2 linked regions of the Drosophila melanogaster genome follow. The gene in region 1 interacts genetically with each later gene. Each region holds a gene or a part of one and is shown on either strand. Other genes may lie near its edges.

Region 1 (4,534 bases):
GTATCTTTAAAATAATAATGTAAGGGCCGTAATGCAGTAAGAATTGGAAAGTGTTCATTTTCACGAAATCTGAGATAGTGCAGAAATACATCCAATCTATATTTCACTTACTCTTGCCTGTGAAAAAGCCCGTGAGCGCTTGTTTTTATTATTATGTTTTACAAAGATACAAAAAGCAACAACACAGATTAGCCACTCTCTCTTAGAGGCGCTCTCTTTACTCACCCGAAAAGGCTGACGTAGAGCATGCGGTGATTACAGTGTTCTGGCAATATTCATCATCCTTGGCCAAGGCAAGAGAGCCGAGGCACGCAAAGAGAGCGAGTGCAACGAAAAATTTCATGTCGACGGTTTACTGTAAATTAAAATCAAATTCGAGAGGCGAAAACAAAGGAAATTAGTTTCACAACAATTGACAATTGGAAAACAGACACTTTTGTTTTCATTTTGGGCGAGTTTTTTCGTTTTGCGTCGTAGCGTTTTCTTGAATTTTCTGTGCTCTTTTTTAACAACAAAACCACCACCAATGGAATGTTTTGGTTTTTAAATTTATATGGTGGTCGGTTTAAAAACACAGTTTCCAGAATATTATTTTCTAGTTTTCGTAACTAAACACTCACAAAGTAGTTAGTTAGTAATATTAAAACTCACTTCCAGTGCCTGTGCTTTTATTAATAATTCAATCGCTTTATGTGCTTCTTGGTGAAACTCTGAAAATCAACTGCTGTTTATAGCGTCGCGTACGTCTCTTTCTATGCGATCGATATGGCTGTGTGTGTGTGGTTTTGGAGAGCGTGCATGGGCATGTGTTGTTTTGCGCTCAGTGCGGGATTTCGGTGTCATTCAAATATGGCCGCTGCCAGTGCTGTTGTTGCTGCGCCTGCTGGAAGGTGACTCACGACAGGGTTGTCAGCGTGTGCAAAATATGGACGCTGCACTTTGGATTTCAAGTGGTTTCCTGAGAGTTTTATCAGCTAACGATGAGAATTGAAAATAAACTGCAGATAAACCATCTACCTCCTAAGATAATGTTTTAAGTTTTGATATATTGGTAATTCACAGCAGCATCGAGCTTGAGACTGTTGCTATTTACAATACATATTATTGCTGGGTTCGGAGATAATGTAGGGTTTCCCCAATCAACAAACAAATTATGTAATTTGTAAGTTTTCCCACCATGTATCCTTCTTATCAAGTGTCATTCTTGGAGCTCTGCAAGCGACACGTAAAAAAGAGCCGTCGCCATATTAGCAGTTATCAAAGTGGGTGACTGATCCCCCCTTCGAACGTGCAAATCAACTTGACAAAATGTGAATTAAATTGTCAGCAATAATTAAACCGCCTGGCAACACATGACGTGGTGCTCTCCCACGGCCAAAACAAAAACAAAGAACAGCTGATGCGCATCTCAAAAGAGCGGCCATATTGCATTTGATAAATTTACTTCTTAGTAAGTGGGGATTATCTGACTAGGAAACCCGACTTTATACAAAGTATACCCATATTGAGGACGTGTGTATCACATTGAGTGCGGCAATTATCGGGAATATTCAATTATCAGCCATTTAAACGGTTAACAAAGAACGGGCGACATGTTGAAAAGATAACAGTGCACACTCTCCCATCACTCACACACACACGAAGAAAAACCGAGAGCGCGCGCGCTTAAAAGTGTTTTGTGCGCCGTTCGGAGCGACAGTTCGCTTTCGAGTTCGCTAAAACACAACGTAGAAAGGCCTTAGCTCCACTGAAAAATCAGATTAAAGCTGTCAGCAGAAGGTACTGGAAAGCATTCGAGAAGTCGAAAATAATCCCAATCAAGCCCATCAAATTGAAGCAGGCGACGCCTTCTGCGCCAGTGTGTGTAAAGGCAGCTAGATTTTCAATTTCAACGCCTATTTAACATTGTAGCTCAACTCGAGTCGCCTCATTCTCATTTGTGCATTTCAAGCAAATCAAACTAAAGTGAAAAACAAATTTTTGTTCTGTGATTTTGTGTAAAGACTACGTTCGACGATCAAAGATGGTGAAACTAATTGCTAGCCTGCTCCTGTTGGCCGTGGTGGCCCAGGCCTATGGAGATTTCAAGTGTAAGTACTAATGTTACGTTTTATTCATCAGAATTTCAAACAAAACAAAGGCAGGTCATCGGAAAAAAAACAATAAATTTCGACGCAATACGCAAAGAGAAGCAAAACATTTGTAATGCGTTGAAAAGAGCATGCGCCGTTTCTCTTTGACGCTCTTTCACTCTCTTTCGTCAATGAAGTGAAGTTACCAAACCAGTTGATTTAAAAGTTATTGATACTTCCGTTGCGCTTTGGGGAAATGATAACCAGTTTTTATACATAAATTTTCATAATTAAATAATGCGAATTTCGCTTTCATTTCCATGAATATTGCGGTATAAATAAGCTTGACTTTTTGTTGTTACATTTCAAGGCGCTCTTTGCACACGGCTTTTACGGGCCGAGTGAGCTAGCATGGTGAACCATGCTTTTTGCACACGGCACTACACGAAAACAAATGCCGTTACTATGGCGGCGAGAGCTGCGCACGTTACCAATGCAGTTACAAAAACAGAGAGAGAGAGTGGGAGAGTAGGCCATTACAGTTTTGCACACGGTTTTTGTGCCCTAGAATAGCGGCATTTCAAGCGCAATTTCAAAGGTTTATGCAATTACGCCCTCTTAAATGCAATAACCAACAACGCCCTACCCCTCAGCCAAGCAAGAAAGCAAGAGTTTCGTGAGAGAGCTTCAAAGGGAGCGAGAAGAGCATCAACTAAAAGAAAAACAAAACCTAAGCCATGAAGGTCAAGACCAAGAGTGCAAAGGTTTTTAAAATATTAAAATTTACCTAAGTTCTGATTACAAAAATAAATTTTTTAAAGCTGAATACTAGCCATATATTGTTATCGTGGTCCCCCGACTTAACCCAACCTTATCCCATTGCAGGCTCCCTGGCTGTTCCTGAGATTACCAAGGACTGGGTGGACATGAAGGATGCCTGCATAAAGGGCATGCGCAATCAGATCCAGGAGGAGATCAACGCCTCCTACCAGTACTTGGCCATGGGCGCCTACTTCTCCCGCGACACCGTCAACCGCCCTGGATTCGCCGAGCACTTCTTCAAGGCCGCCAAGGAGGAACGTGAGCACGGATCCAAGCTGGTGGAGTACCTGTCCATGCGCGGTCAACTGACCGAGGGAGTCAGCGATCTGATCAATGTGCCGGTAAGTCGACGACTCGCCTAGAAAACCCAAAAGCCCAGCTAATCCTGGCGAATCCCCCACAGACTGTGGCCAAGCAGGAGTGGACCGATGGTGCCGCCGCCCTGTCCGACGCCCTCGACCTGGAGATCAAGGTGACCAAGTCCATCCGCAAGCTGATCCAGACCTGCGAGAACAAGCCCTACAACCACTACCACCTGGTGGACTACCTGACCGGTGTCTATCTGGAGGAGCAGCTCCACGGACAGCGCGAGCTCGCCGGCAAGCTGACCACTCTCAAGAAGATGATGGACACCAACGGCGAACTGGGCGAGTTCCTGTTCGACAAGACCCTGTAAGGAGGTGGAGATAGAGAAGGCGCAGCGCCCAGTCACGCATCAAAATTATCAGCCAGTCGAGTTATCTGTTATCTGTCAGCCCAGAGAGCCTTCCCGAGGGTCCGCTATTAAATCATCACCAGCCAAGTCGGCGACTGGCCAATAAATTATCCGTTCGACTGCGATCCTCAAACCAGCACAGCAAAATTCCACGTCTGTTCTTTCTTATCAACCACTTGTGATTTCCGTACACCTCGGGAGGGGGCTCCACATTATGCAATCGCCGAGATTTCGCCTAGGCTTAAGTGGAATCGCTCATTCGCATAGTAAGACACTCAGCACAACCCATTCAATACATCCTATATCTTTATATTTTTCTGTCAATTAGACGAGCAAGTTCTTAAATAAATAACAATATATATGTAACGAAATAAACTGTATATGCGTTTGTTTTTGAGGGAGTTTTTTCAGATGGAAAACGAGGGTGATTTTATTCTTGTTGATAATTTTCGATGGGGATTTCACAGAAAAAGTGCTATATCTTGGGAAAGACACGTCCAATTGTGGAGTGGAATACCTCGTTGAACTTGTAAAAATATTCCTAAACGACGGGTAACTCATTTAGAGAAATTTTTGGTTTGAAAATTTTTTCGATTTTTTATGATGTTACCCCTTACAAAAAATGCGAAATTTGGCCGAAAAATTATTTTTCCAAATTAAAGCAAATATTGATATGGGTCTTTAGCTGAGGACCCCAGCTGACTAAAAAAGTGCGTTTTTCAGCCTTGTGACATATTTTGGCCAACTTACAACGAAAAAACTGTAAAAAAGGTGTTTAAAACTGGAATGTTTAAGGAAAAAGAAATTGTGTTTTTGGGAATGGTGAAGTTGTAGGTTATTTCGTAAAATCACAATAAAGCAAAACTTTGTTTCTACTCTCTGTTGGTTCAGTAAGCCTATCAGATTACAGAGGTCCTTGGAGAGT
Region 2 (7,714 bases), 520 kb from region 1:
TATGAAAAATGAAACAACAAATGTGGCCATAGGTTGGCAGATGTGCAACTGCTAAGTAATCATGAACGAATTTTTTCAGTGATGATGCAAAACGTGTGATAGGGGTAAATGCAGTACCTCAAAACCTGCCATTATCTTTACACCTTGAAATAAATGTTCTCTTGCTAATTAAGACTAGGTAAATTCCATAAACCGTATCATATCGGTTTTTAATCAATTTCTAAGGCAGTGACAGTTTTTAAATGTCGCTAAGGGAGCGGTTGAGAAATGTATGGCTGTGAGCATTGATAATAACTATGGGAAGTTGGCGCGAAATGGTAGGTATATGACCATCTATATGTGGAAAGATAAGGAACAACAATAATAAAGACCTAAACATAAAAATATACTTGCTTTACCAAACGAATGGTTCCTAATATTGTACATATATCTCATCCACTAGTGTTTAAAATAGAACAAAATAAATGAAAAAACTGCACATGATGATCACAGACATTGGACAGAGCGCAGTTTTTAACCGCTTTAAAAATTTAGCCATAAATTTAAGCTTCACATGGTAGTAAACCTTCTACAAATTACACCACCAGACATATGAGCTGAATGAGGGCTTTCACACGTGGGAATGGTGTTCCAAGGCCACTGATGATGGATCGTTACCCTAGTAGATGACATCATAACTGGGTCTAGCAAAACGGAAGTAAGAGCACTCCATGTGGACCCCATTCACTTACAGGTCCTATCACGGGCTTGGGCTCAACGAAGACCCCTGCATCCTGCGGCTTTAGCCGGGCACCCAGGCTATTAGTGGGACTCCGGGTGGCGGGCGTTCCAGCGCCAATGGGCGTAGCATCGCTGTCGGATGAGGCGGCGGCATTCACTCTCACGGCGGGCTCGGGAAAGATGAACTCCTGGGCCACCTCGGGCGGCAGCTTTCGACTGAAATGGCCAGGGATTAATTAAACATTTTTACGGGGTAAGCCACAAGAACCTACCACAAAGTCGAATGGCGATTGGGCGTAGTGTCCTCGGCATCGAAAAACTCCTCTGAACTGTCCGAATCCGTTTCCAGCTTACTCATTTCGTGATTTGTGCGTTTGTGATGGGTTGTCGGCGTTATCTAACCACCCAATCGTATGCAAATTATCCACCAAATTACGATTTTCTCTATGGTTTTTTGTTATTGATTCCCTTTTGTTGCTGCGGCGCCCCACTGTCTTTTGTTGTTGTTGCTTTGTTGCTTTCTACTCGTGTGACGTCACTCGCTGCCGCACTAGCGCTGAATGCACTGCATTTAACATGTTGCTATCGCCTGCGTTTTATTACACATAATTATACTGCTAATTTAGTTCCTAATCAATTGTTAATTGAGTTTTTACGCTTGATACGCGTAAATACTAGTGGTGTCAAAGATGCAATAATGATTTCGATTGCGTCAAGTATGATTAATAAGCAATCGATTGAACTAGCGATGGGCTATTGGTCGTGCTTGCTCGTGACACGCAAAAATGCGGCGAGAGTCCGCGCGTATTTTAAATTTATACACTGTATTAAATTTATACAAAAACCTAATGTTTTATGTTTATATTCCAATATTAAATCGAAAATATATATATACAAAATTTTTAATTTCCTACATCTCGCTTTGAAAATAACGTATTTGAGGCAATAGGGGGCATTTAAATATTTTCTACATAAGTCGGATTTCTACATATATGTGCCTAATTTTACTATGGTATTTAATTATCGATCACTGGTAGTCACACAGCTGATATCAAGCTCCCCCACCATTGTTGGGATCTCTGCTAAGATAAAATTCAACCTGTTATCGATAACCGACATTTTTGATTGTGGACTGCCACCGCTATCGAAATGCACCATATTGCTTTGTTATTGTATTTTCCGCACGGCCCTCGAACAAAGTAAACAAATGTATAAATGCATGTGTTTTTGGCGAGCTTGTAACTGTTAGTGAAGCGACGCGCGGAGCGACGACATCAACATTAAGCCCGTGTTTCGAGTTAGGCGAGGCCAGGCGTACGTTTAACCCACGCAGAGCCCGGGCGAAATAAACGTAAATTCACGCAATTACTTCGCAGTAAAAAAAGCATCGGGTGCCAATGATCGCTACTACGCAATAGAAAAGTAATTTATCATACAATTTCGCCACTGCAAAAATCGAAAGTTTCGGGTTTTATTCCCTGCTATAAAAGTGATAAGAGCACGTTAACCCGTTCCTGTTACAGCTGAATAACGGTAAAAATAACTGCACACCCATCCCAACCGATTATCTGAAATCGGGCTCGAAGACAAAGTCTGGTATTTAATGGCAGCCACCTAATGATTATGTGACATTTCGCTTTGTGGTGAAAGAGATCCTAATCCATTAAAACTATATACTATATGCATGAATGTAGGATCTAGAAGATGAAAACATAAGTGCTTAAATCGACTCAGCTGGTGTTGCTTATCAGTTATGTACAAAGTACATATGTTTCTCTGTAGATAATTCCATTGTTTTATCGTGCGGTTTCAAATAAAAGCATCAGAGACGTTTTCGAAAAATGTGTTGAATTTTTAGAAGTACATGATACGATACTTCTTTTGAGCAAACTTCCAACTTCCGCATAGATCTCTTGATATGCCGCATAACTAACCTAGTGTAAGATTATCATCTGCACGTCACTAATAGCGGCCATATTTGAGTAATTTTGAACAGTACTCAATCTAATCTCGAATCTGTGCTCTGAACACTATAATCATATTGAGCGTATTGCGTTTTATCAGCGGTACATATATGTATGTATGTATATAGAAAAACAAATGGACTAGACTTTGTTGAACAACAATACAATGATAACTTGTTTGGCAAACTGGTTTCGCGGCTTCAATCTTGTTTATTAATAATGTAGAATCGAAGGGTTTGCTTCTCCGTATGCTGGTTAATCAAACTCAAAGCCATGTGATACTCAGTGCTCGGTTGTGGGTGTAGACATATGCACATAGTACCCTGATCGGAACAAAGAACTTTCTTCGGTGTTCTAGGTGATTTACAAGGGTGACAAATCTATTTATGACTAGTGCAGCAAAGCTGAAGCTCGATTAAAACTCGGGAATGTACCAAGTTTCCTTTTTCCCATGCCATACACTTTAATATTCTTTGTTGATGAATTCCCTTTATCTATACTTTCTTTATATCTGCTCGGGCACACTCCTTATCACCCAAGGGACCAAGTTTCTCATTCGGATTGTTTGCCCCGCACGTTTTGATTGATAATCAAAGCATGTTCACTACGCCATGTCCCAGTTTTAGTGCAGCGTGCAAAATAATCTCTGCCATTTTGATGATCCATTCAAAAGTTTGCGGCCCTACTGGCGACAATAATGATTCACAAGTGATTGGCGAGCTAGCAACTCTTTTAATTGCATCTTTACGCCAAATTGTATTTATAGCACGAGCTTTGGAGTCCCCTGTTTATATTTTCTTTTCAATTCATCTATAAGAAGGCGAAGAAGACGATAATTGCACCACAACGAGCTCAGTTACCGACGCGATAACACACGAATTGTGGAGCTTGGAGCATAAATTTCCGCATTAGCAACGCTCAAGTGTGATATAGTTTACTGGTATTGTGTTAACAGTTGGCAGTATACAAATACCTCACGCCACAAATCAACTTTAAATCGCAGAAGAATCTATTGTCCTCTAGTCTTCCAGCAAAATAGTGCCACATTATGTTTATTAAGTACTTGTGCGATTCGCCATATTCGTGAATAACTAACTAACTATCTGAGTGTAATTGACAGGATTCCCGGAATTAATCTGAACTGTCTTTTCAGTGAAGGCTCGCCCAAGAAACACAGCAATTAGTGCAACAGCTAAACAGATAATCCCGAGTTATTGTGCCGAAATTGAATTATTTACTCATCTGATCAAACCGTAAAAGCAAACTTGAGTGGCTTCCTAGTAGCGATTTTCGACTAATTTAAAAGAAACCTGAATCTGAACAAGAAGACTCTCTTTGCTATTGTTGTTTTGCGAATCTTTAAAGGGCAAATACAGTAGAATAACAATAAAAGCGTGAAACAGTCATAGTTCGCATAGAGTATTTGTAATATTGGAACAGATGAACTGAATGATAGTTAATACAGCCTCCTAGTCTCAGTCTTTAGAGATATTTTGGGTAACTCAAGTAATTACACGATGTCTAAATCTAATCTAGCTCATTTGCTTTCTGATAGTTCAATGACAACGACACTGCGAAAGATAAGAGTGTAGTATATACGTATATAGTTATTGTATAGCCATAGCTTACCGGATTGATTTCGCATCTCGCTACTGAAGTTCCGAGGCATTCCCATTCTGCCCGTTCTGTCGGGGATTAGACATCATTCGTCCGCTTCCAAGTTTGATTCCCCAATACACATGCGGAGTATTGCCGCTTAGCAAAACCGCCGAAATCATGTCACTCCATTGTGCCAGCGCCATCGTAATCTTATCGCGGCAAAGTGAACAGTTTAAGCTGCATCGTGCACATCAAATCGGAAATCAAATGGAAACAAAGTATCTTGACGTGGGCGTTCCGAAGCAGCGTCTCCTGAAAATTCGTTTAGTCTGTTTCTGCACATTGGAAGCGTCGGTTATCGAGCTTGGAAATTAATTTTCGCCCAATTTACAATCTGTTTTGGTTGGTGGCAGTGATATAAAAGTAGTTTACGATCGAGAGAAGTTTGATTTACAAGTAGAATTCTTCTACTAATCGTACAGCAGATTCTAAAATAAAAAATCCTGGAAAGCAATCACATTCAAACTAACTAACTGCATCTAAATTGCTTATTAATTATGGAAAAAGCCAATTAATTATTGCTCGAACTCGAACAAGCCATATTGGCAAATATATATTTATCATTTAAGTACCTGCATTTTAGATAAAGTCTACCAGGTTCGCTGTGATACGGGTAACAAGTTCCACAACGAACAATTTGATATTTTATTGGTTATAGTGAGGCAGGACACGCTTACTCATCCTGATGGAGTAGCTATCGGGCAATGGTCTTAGTTTGATTGACTGCCGTTCCCTATGAAGCCGTCTAGTCACACTTAAGTTGCCATGATTAAATTTTACAGAGACTCGCTTATCGAACCTGACAACGAGCGCAGTTGAGAGAGTTTTTCCCTGCCCCTTTATTGATTATGGCTGACATTGTCCATATCTAAAGGATTTTCGCATCACCGTCTGTCTGATACTAAGAACCGCATCTAGTTATTCAATGATTTTGTTGCCAGGTGGCGGATTTGGGGAAACATTTGCTTAACTGGCTATTTGTATCAAAATTTACGTGTGTGCTGACATTTCTTAAACCATTTAAATTATATTTTCTTTACTAGCCGAGTCATCATCGATCACGGCACATACTCCACCGAAAGTCACTGGACATGAGCAGGCAGCAGTGACTGAAGAAACCCAACCCAGTTCCAGCACAGAGCAGCGCATAAGTAGCCGTAAAAAGGCAGCCGAAAATGACCACGAACAGCAGCTTCTTCGATGAACACATCGCCATGATATACTCCAACCTGATGGACCAGTACATGCCCGAGTACTTCAAAAGCTTTGAGTACACGCCATGGGTTTTCTCCCTGCTGGGATCGGTGGTAATTGGACTGAGTGGCATATTCCCGCTGATCATCATTCCCACGGAGGAGAAAATGGCTAAGGAGGGATACAAAGATCGTAAGTCACATGCGTACGAAAAGTATATCAATTGAACTTGAATCACATCTCACCCTACAGCTGCAGATTCAAAACTCCTGCGAGTGCTTCTGAGTTTCGCGGTCGGCGGTCTGCTGGGCGATGTGTTCCTTCACCTGTTGCCAGAAGCCTGGGAGGGCGATAATCAAGGTGAGTTGCGGGGAAATCCAAGTTGTGAAATCATCTCCATAATATTCGTTTTCCTCCTAAAGATCCTTCTAGTCACCCATCCCTGCGCTCGGGCCTTTGGGTACTTTCCGGCATACTGATCTTCACGATCGTGGAGAAAATCTTTTCCGGATATGCCAGCGCGGACGAGGAGAACCCTCAGCCCAAGTGCGTGGAGATAGCCAACTGCCTGTTGCGTCGACATGGCGGCCAACTACCAGAGGGCGAAACCTCTGAGAGTTGTGGCGGCGCCTGCGACATCGAAGATGTAGGTAAAGTCTGTTTCCTACGCGAGCAGGAACAGAAGTCAAAGGAAAGGAAGGAACAGCCGAAGAAGGTGGCTGGTTATCTGAACCTCTTGGCCAACTCAATTGACAATTTCACACACGGTCTAGCCGTGGCTGGATCCTTTTTGGTGTCCTTCAGACACGGCATTCTAGCCACTTTTGCCATATTGCGTAAGTACTTATAGATACTATTGAAACATAGGATAGTTCCTCACTTATTTCCCTACATACAGTTCATGAAATTCCGCACGAGGTGGGGGATTTCGCAATCCTGCTTCGATCCGGATTCAGTCGCTGGGACGCCGCGCGTGCGCAACTACTCACGGCGGGAGCTGGCCTGCTCGGTGCTCTGGTGGCCATCGGAGGCTCCGGCGTAACGTCGGCCATGGGTAAGCTTAAATGGGCTCTCCGTGTGACAAACAAGCAAACTTATCTTTACATTTACAGAGGCACGTACTTCGTGGATTATGCCGTTCACCGCCGGCGGCTTTCTGCACATTGCTCTGGTCACAGTATTACCTGATCTCTTGAAGGAGGAGGAGCGCAAGGAGTCCATTAAGCAGCTGCTAGCACTGGTATTTGGCATTGCGTTAATGGCCGTGATGACCATGCTATTCGAACACTAGGAACTTTAGCTGACAGCAGTATAAGAAGAAAATTGAAAGCAGTTTTTAGTTTGTTCTAAGATTGTCATTGGCAGTTTTAAATTAACATGAATTTGTTGTACTTTATGGGATTCGACATCCTGTCTGCGTTATGTAATTATAGCCAATATGAATGATATTTAAACTATTATTAATGATTACGTATTACTGTATCATACTTATGAAACGAAAATTCAATAGACATTTAAGGGAGAGTCCTTTGCCCTCCACTATCCACGAACATTCTTATCTTTTATCTGGACTTTATTTGGGTAACAAAAGCGTCCACTATTTGGGCTGCATTTCTTTGTCAGCAGGAAAATTAAAGAACAAAATCAGAAAAATGCACTTCCTATAAAAAACAAGTTGTTTTATTCCGTTTTTGTTTGCAAATCATGTCTTGCAAGCTTATCTAGTGCCTTTATTTCTTAGACTTGATCTTCTTAAGGTAGAATTCCAACTCCTTGCCTTCCAAAATGTAGCCGTCGGAGCGACCGCACTGTCCGGGGCGGGAAGAAATGCAAGCTGAAAGGAAAAATAACAGGGAATTAGAGCGGGGCTTCCAGTAAATGGAAAAGTATAAGTTTAGTGGTCTGATCAGAGTAACTATGACAAGCAGAATCACACCCAACAGGCTTGCGTCTCTCTTAAAACAAGATCAACACAATAAAGTAGCTGGATCGCTAGGGTTTTTACATCACTATAACAAAAATCATTAATCATGAATTAGAAAGAATACACACCCAAGATGCGGCCGGAGGTGAACTGATCCTCGAGGGCCTGCTCGACCTTGCCGTACTTCTGGCGCTCCAGGTACTTCTTCATAACCTTTTCGCTGCGCTTCTTGGTCAGCACGTCGTTCTCGTCC

What was found.
Region 2: of Fer1HCH (region 1) and Zip99C, changing one suppresses a phenotype caused by changing the other (phenotypic suppression), as found in Drosophila melanogaster (one study listed by BioGRID).

Annotation. Positions count from the first base shown.
Region 1 is NT_033777.3:30,385,020-30,389,553, reverse strand, and holds Fer1HCH (ferritin 1 heavy chain homologue), read left to right. Parts: upstream 1-1,934; 5' UTR 1,935-2,023; coding exon 2,024-2,090; intron 2,091-2,144; exon of another isoform or gene 2,145-2,442; coding exon 2,443-2,451; exon of another isoform or gene 2,452-2,670; intron 2,671-2,725; coding exon 2,726-2,836; intron 2,837-2,957; coding exon 2,958-3,235; coding exon of another isoform or gene 3,236-3,256; exon of another isoform or gene 3,257-3,297; coding exon 3,298-3,570; 3' UTR 3,571-3,752; downstream 3,753-4,534. Other genes in the region: Fer2LCH (ferritin 2 light chain homologue), read right to left, coding at 112-138, 226-343. UniProt on the Drosophila melanogaster protein: Stores iron in a soluble, non-toxic, readily available form. Important for iron homeostasis. Iron is taken up in the ferrous form and deposited as ferric hydroxides after oxidation.
Region 2 is NT_033777.3:29,863,072-29,870,785, reverse strand, and holds Zip99C (Zinc/iron regulated transporter-related protein 99C), read left to right. Parts: upstream 1-1,890; 5' UTR 1,891-2,253; intron 2,254-2,714; exon of another isoform or gene 2,715-2,796; intron 2,797-2,968; exon of another isoform or gene 2,969-3,042; intron 3,043-3,571; exon of another isoform or gene 3,572-3,606; intron 3,607-4,251; exon of another isoform or gene 4,252-4,270; intron 4,271-4,605; exon of another isoform or gene 4,606-4,685; intron 4,686-5,273; exon of another isoform or gene 5,274-5,386; 5' UTR 5,387-5,518; coding exon 5,519-5,729; intron 5,730-5,789; coding exon 5,790-5,897; intron 5,898-5,959; coding exon 5,960-6,373; intron 6,374-6,435; coding exon 6,436-6,591; intron 6,592-6,649; coding exon 6,650-6,828; 3' UTR 6,829-7,085; downstream 7,086-7,714. Other genes in the region: CG34133 (uncharacterized protein), read right to left, coding at 732-936, 993-1,078; RpS8 (ribosomal protein S8), read right to left, coding at 7,268-7,371, 7,590-7,714. UniProt on the Drosophila melanogaster protein: Involved in zinc transport and homeostasis.